Linked DNA regions of Drosophila melanogaster. The protein of the gene in region 2 interacts with the protein of the main gene of each other region in a pairwise test. Each region holds a gene or a part of one and is shown on either strand. Other genes may lie near its edges.

Region 1 (3,658 bases), on a different chromosome or scaffold from region 2:
GATTCAATATATATGTGTTTTATTAGGTCCGCACATCAATGATCACAGGCTGCCCACCTGGCTGTAAACTCTTGTAAAGATGTGACTTCCTCTAGCAAAGTTATCCAAATACGGCGTGCTGGCCAGCGTATCGCCATAAGCTCCAATAACTGGACGCAGATCATCAAAGATCACCATCACCACATTCGGCCGTCGTGGCGGAGCAGCTGCGTCCAGCAGCACTGGCATCATCAGCGAGAGCAGGAGACGAGCAGTGATCATGTCTACGGCGAAGGAAGCTCACAACTGTTGACTCGAAGATGCCGACACGGCGGATGTGGATGCCGGCGAATTTGTTGTGCTACCCTGTGCCCATGAAATCTGATAAGGGGGTATATCAGCGGCTCATACATTTGGTTTTATAAAAATTTTGAAAATCAAGTAATCTATATATATTCAAAAATTCAAATATCTAAAATATGGCGTTTTGAAGGGTTTTTCTTTTAATCTCCTGATGCATTTGAAGGGTATATTTATGTCATTCCCAAATTCATTTAAAACACTTCACTTGTTTACTGTTTTGCGCGGTAAAGTCCAAAGAGCATGGAGAAGAGAAATCGGACGGGCGGCGCAATTCAAAACCGCCCTCCATTATATTTCAATTGAATTTAACGGAAGCGCGCCTCGTCGACGCTTACAGTGCACATTTTACAAGTACAGTAAAAGTTCTATAATCACGAAATGCAACAGTGGGTCAAATTATTCACAAATCAAGAACTAATGAAGTTTTGTACAACCTAGTTCATATCTAAAACCGTCCAAGTCATTATATCTGCGTACCATTACTCTAAGATATAATAAACATGTTGTAAACCTTTTATTTAAATATATAAATATTTTTTCTTTTGTTTGCAGTTTAAAACTTATGTTACTTAAAATCCTTGTAAAAAGCCAAATCACTATTCAATTGGAAAACATGTTCAACTGATTTTTTTTAGCATTTTTTTCATAACTGGGCTTACTGATTTGAATTCGAGTTTAGCATATTTCACTGTACATGACCATTCTCCGGACAGGGACTGGAATGGAATCGGGGGCATTCCGCAGGCTGGCATGAATAATATTTACACATAGTATATAATGATTTGCGAGCTAACGATTAACAATAACAAAAATATTGGTGCTTTGTGATAGTCACCCACCGCGAAAGCCTAATAGGGATCAACTTTTAGCGTTTCTTTATGGATAATTTCTGGGTAATCCCCTCTAGAAAACCGTTCCGCAGTTGGAACAGCGCTTCTCACGCATGGCCAAGCAACAGAGAATTCCCAGCGGGAAGAAGAAGATTGCGCAGCACAGTCCGCAGGCGGAGAAGGTGTCCTCCAGGTATCCAATCCGACATGCAGGGCATCCTCCAATCACGATGATCTCGGTGGGCATAGCGACCGGAGCAGGCTGAATCACCACGCTGACCGGCGTCGTCTCGAAAGCTCCGTAGGTTGGCATGTGCATGTTTGGTGGCGGAGCACTAGGTGCTCCCTGATGCACGCCCACTATCAGCCGGGAATCTAAAAAAGATGTGCATTGAATTGGATGCCTTTAGTGAGCCTATTACTTACCCTGCGAGGGACTGTTCATGACTTCTTCGTAGCTCGGCGGCGCGGCGTCTTTACGGGTATCTGCCATTGTGGCCGGAAAGCTTTTTTTTGTGACTCACTGCTTCTTGTTATGAAAATAGTCTAGGCTTTTTTACTACGTTTAATTGCGTTAACTTTTTCTCTGCGTTTTCTTTGTTTTGCCGCAATCAGTTATCGTTGCAACAGCTGACTGCGACTATTCTATCGATTGGTAATCGTGGTCGCGGGAGTACATATCGTAAATCAGTAGTTTGAATTTGAGCAAAGAATTCTACGATTTAACATCTTAAAATACATTTATTTATGCAAAACTAACAAATGCAACTGCACATACATCTTGTTCTATAAGAACCTATAAGCAAACTTATAGTAGCCATCTATTTGGCTTTGAGTGAGCGAGGATTTCTGCTTGGTCAGAACTTTTTCAAAGTCTTGTAGCTCAATTTCCGTGGCCTTAAAGTCACGTTGAAAAGCCTCGATAGCCGCCTCATTGCAGAGATTACACAGATCCGCTCCAGAATACCGGTCTGTTCGGGCAGCAATCTCCTGGAGAAACACATTTTCATGGAAAGGCATGCGCTGGGAGTGGAGTTTTAGCAGAGCCAGGCGGGATTTCTCATCTGGGGCTGGTACATGGATAAGCTTGTCAAAGCGTCCTGGTCGCAGTAGGGCATCATCGATCATATCCGGTCGATTGGTGGCTGCAACGACAAGTATATGTTGCTGACTACCACCCCCCACAATGCCATTCATTTCGGTCAACAGCGTGGAGAGAATCCTCAGCTGAACTTGTCCACCACCTCCGCCACTTGAGACCGTCCTTCTGCCAACAAGCGAATCTATAAAATTAAGTGGATTAATCATTTTTATGGCAAATTAAGCTTATCCGACTCACCTATCTCATCTAGAAATATAAGACAGGGTGCATTTTTTCGCGCTGTGTCAAAGATTCGCGATATAAATCTTTCCGCGCAACCGACGTAGGGAGAGTACACCTCCGCCGCCGACGTAGCAATGAAGGTCATGTCAGCTTCCTTGGCCAGGCACTTGGCTACGGTGGTCTTGGCACATCCTGGAGGTCCATAGAGCAGCACTCCTTTGGGCAAACTTAGTCCGAATCGAGCAAAAGCGGCACTTTGTCTTATACCCGCTAGAACGGAGACTTGCAAGGTACGTTTCAGTGCTTCCATGCCTCCGATAACCTCAAACCCAGCCGTCATCTTCGAGACCCGCACATCTGTGGATCGAGATGCACTCGGTTGAGTTTGTGACAGGGATTTGAGGAAAATGTGCTCTATGTCGAAGTCGTCTTTTGTTAAGAGTTGCTGTTGAACGCGGCGCAGGAGTAGTGTTAAATCCGCTATCACATATCCCTGAGTGTTTCTCGCTATATGCTCGAGTAAAGTCTGTGAGATATTCAGCTCGTGTACTTCGCAGAGATGCTCTACGAGTTGTCTGCGCTGCCCTTCGCTGGGCATATTAATGGTCACCTCTCGGACGAACCGCCTGCGCGCATGTTCATGCAAGGAGTCCGGGACACCAGAAGTTGCCAGACATATGATGCCTCGAGGAAGTGCGTCTAGCAGTTTGTAGAGCTCAGCTGAAATTCGTAGGCTATTGCTAGAGTTTTTTGCATCTGCGACAGCCGTTGAGGGGCAGAGCAGCTCCAGATCCTCAATGAGGATTACAATTGGCACTATAAATATAAAACTAATTAATATTTCAAACGTAAAACAAACACTGTGAAAATTACATAATGGACGTAGTTTCTCCTTGAAAGTCTGAGCAGCCTGAAAGATCCTCCTCAACTCCTCTTCGGTTTCGCCGGGATATGAGCGCAGCACCTGGCTGGCTGTAATGTAAAAACAGTTGCAGCTATGACGACGCAGGAACTCACTGAGTAGACCACTTTTTCCACAGTCCACCGGACCCACAACCAATGCTGTAGTAGGAAATCTATGCGAAAAGCTGATTTTAGAGGTTTCCAGGAGCTTCTCCAACTGCTCCATGGGTCGCTCGAAGCTGTGTGGCAAATACTTGAA
Region 2 (3,314 bases):
GATCGCGCCAATATAAACTCGCTATGTGAAGCCCTGAATTGCATCGTGGAGGAGCGCCAAAGCCAGTCCAACTTTATGCTCATCATCATCACTCACGACGAGAATTTCGTTTCGTCTCTGGGCAAGATAACCTCCTACCATCGGGTCTTCCGCAACGAGGAGTGCAAGTCGGTTATACGGAGAGTGGAGGCGGGTCCATCAAAGAAAGCTTTGATAGATCAATAAAAAATATTATTTTTGTTATCAATCTATGTTTGCTTGTCTAGTCATCAAATCAGTTATAGACGGGGACAATTGGCCGCGCAGGTGTGGTAACAAAGAATGATGGGTTTAGTTTTTAGAAATGGCCAATACGTGTGGTCTGTTGCTGCTGGCAATACTTGCTTATGCAGAAGTTGCATGCCACTCCGTACAATTTGGCATGCTGCACTTTCTAGCTGTTCCCATATATGAGACTGAAATATTCACCACTGAATTTGTGGATTTCGTAGACGTGAAGTACACACAAAAGGTATTTTAAATATATTACTTTAAATAAAGTGGAAGATCTCTTAGGTATTTTTGTACAGGGTAGCATGTGCTTTCATATAAACATGATATTGGTCATCGATGAAAGTGAAATGGAATGGAAAGGCCAGGCGTCCGTTCTGTCCGGCGGTATTGGTTACAACTTCACTATCTTAAGACTAACATTTAACCAGCCAGAGGTTGCCAAAGTCACAGTAGTCATTTACGGGATCCCCAGGTAGGAACTGCACAGCAGATATTTATCCTAGATCCTAATCAGTCTTAGTCTTGTTTGTTCGTAGGGACATTCCAGTGGTATCCGTCTTCCGGCAGATCGCTGCGAATCAGTGGGGACAGCCACGCTAAATGCATGCGGTTTCCAAAAACGCTCCTTAGATTTTGATACACTCCTCTGTCGTACTTTTCTTTGCTCTCCTTAGTGCGATCGGCGGAAACACCGCCCCTTAAAACAATGGGCACATGGTAGGCCAGGAGGAGGACTCCATAAGCCAGAGCTAAAATATTTAAGCTGTAGAAGACCAGGTACATGTTGGTCCAAAAACTGCCCGTTACCAGGTGTAACATGGGGCAGGCGAGTTTTAACACCGTCACCCAGTTGCTGTAGATGTGGCCGTGGATGACCCACATGTATATGGAGTTGTACACCAGTGCGTAAACTGATCCCACGAAGAGATAGAATATAAAGCCCATGAAGAAGCGATGGTTTCTGAGTCCAATGCAGCAGCCGGTGTAGATACAGTGGTGATCCCGCTTCAGAATGCACACTTTGCAGGCCTTGCAATGCCAAGATCTGGGTGGTGCTAGCTTCTGGCACTCGCCGCACTCACGCCAATTCAACTGATCCGATGGTGGTTCCACCTTTTTCACTGGAAATGGGATATGCATTTTATCGGATTTATTATAAGACCTGCTGCGACTTACCATTTACACTTGTGTCAATCATCATGCAGGCAATCATGTTTCCCTTGATGTTAAACACCAGGAACATGGCCATAAGAAAGGTGAAGGTGTGGAAGAAGCCACCCGGTTCATGGAAGGCAGGCAGCACCACCACAATCTCGAACATAAACACCACCGGGAGAAAGACCGCAATGATGAGGAAGCACAAGATGTCCACCATCCGGCTGGGCATTGGGTTGCTCCGGATTCTCATGATCTGTGCTACTAAGGTAAATAAATAGGCACCGATCTCCGATATGTCAGAAAGAGAACTAACTTGATAACCGGTTGCTGTAACATCACGTGCGGTTGAGCTTTATTTTATCAAGCTTTCGAGGCCAAAGCTAATGGGTCGCCGGTAAAAAGCTCGCTTTCTATGTTTTTGCGGCGAAAAGTTTGCGTTCAGTATGATTGAATGTGATTCATTGAACCCGAGTTCAATATAATTTGATAAACTCCAAAGCTAACCGAATTAAAGTTTGATATCAAGCGCGGGGTGGTGTAAAACTGCGGCCATGCACTTATACATGTTATCAAGACGGGCCACACGTCGTATGCTTGATGGCGTGTGCCATGAATACATACATATACATTTAAACGCCAACGGCAAGCCAGCATTGAGAATTTAATTAACTTGAAAGGATTCACTCCTTCGAATGCCGCCGTAATCGGGGTAAAACCTTAATTACATGCCTCTTTAATAAGTGTGCCGACACCTGATTGCTTGCGATATCAAGTATTTATGCAGGTGTCAAGGGTCATTAAGTAAACAGTTCGCTATGGAACCGTCGCCGTCAGCCGGAACGGAAAGGCAGGGATCCTCGTTATTTCTGCTGAAGAGCTTCGTCAGGAGTCTGCGGCAGTTCCTCAACCAGACTAGTCTGCATGGACTCAAGTTTGTGGGCGATTCCGGCCTGAGTAGCTGGGAGAGGTGGGAAAGGAGCACATCCAAGTGCGGATTTTGAGCTACATTTGCAAAACCCTTTTTAGATCGTTTTTCCTTGGCTCCTTTGTCACCGCCCTCATCATCACGGTGCACCTCATATCGAACATCTATGTGAAGTGGGATAGCACGCCGGTTATAATCGGCATCAGCCCACAGGCCACCTCCATTTTGAAGGTTCCTTTTCCGGCAATAACCATATGCAATATGAACCAGGTGCAGAGGAGTCTGGTAGCCAATTACAGAGAGTAAGTTCGGTTTTCCTCTAAGGCAATCGTCCATCCATCATTTTGAAATTAAATTATGTTCCAGGGGCTCCAATGAAAGTGCCCTTCTGAAGCTATTATGTGAATCGGATAGCTGGGAATCCAGTGAGGCTGATGAGGAGTTCTCCGCTTCGAATTTTGTCACGAACAACCTGAAGATATCCGAATTTGTTTCAAATCACTCGCAGTCCTGCGAGAGAATGTTGCTTTTTTGTAGATTCAGTGCCGTGGAGCGAAACTGTTCGCAACTGTTTCAGCAGATCCTGACGGATGAGGGCCTGTGTTGCGTCTTCAATTTTCAACCACCGGAATATCTCTACAAGCCATTGTAACTAGATGGGTTCATTAAATTAAAATAATTGATTTATTGTTTTGACAGTGCAAATAACAACCGGAACTTGACGAACTCTGATGGGTTTGAAAGTGTTATGTGGGATCCGGAGTCAGGATATCCGGAACAATTGCCCCCCAAGTTCTATCCAGCCACCGCTAGTGGTAAAATATCAGAGAATCGTTAATGAATAGAGTATTTCAAATATGTACTATAGGCACTGGTATCACCTTGGGATTTACTGCCGTACTTGATGCTGAGATGGGCGAATACTATTGCTCTTCGACCAATGGACCTGGTTTTAAAG

Evidence for each region. The genes of interacting proteins can lie anywhere in the genome.
Region 1: the proteins of CG10344 (region 2) and CG12012 interact in a two-hybrid assay, tested with the Drosophila melanogaster proteins (one large-scale study listed by BioGRID).

What each region holds. Positions count from the first base shown.
Region 1 is NT_037436.4:3,374,888-3,378,545, reverse strand, and holds CG12012 (uncharacterized protein), read right to left. Parts: upstream 1,790-3,658; 5' UTR 1,666-1,789; coding exon 1,599-1,665; exon of another isoform or gene 1,548-1,598; coding exon 1,246-1,547; 3' UTR 554-1,245; downstream 1-553. Other genes in the region: Ids (iduronate 2-sulfatase), read right to left, coding at 58-261; CG12010 (uncharacterized protein), read right to left, coding at 1,959-2,455, 2,512-3,312, 3,370-3,658.
Region 2 is NT_033778.4:22,425,233-22,428,546, forward strand, and holds CG10344 (uncharacterized protein), read right to left. Parts: upstream 1,746-3,314; 5' UTR 1,682-1,745; coding exon 1,450-1,681; intron 1,395-1,449; coding exon 790-1,394; 3' UTR 750-789; coding exon of another isoform or gene 570-749; 3' UTR 512-569; downstream 1-511. Other genes in the region: rad50, read left to right, coding at 1-225; CG46442 (uncharacterized protein), read left to right, coding at 344-511, 570-749; ppk12 (pickpocket 12), read left to right, coding at 2,247-2,398, 2,458-2,658, 2,723-3,004, 3,056-3,171, 3,225-3,313.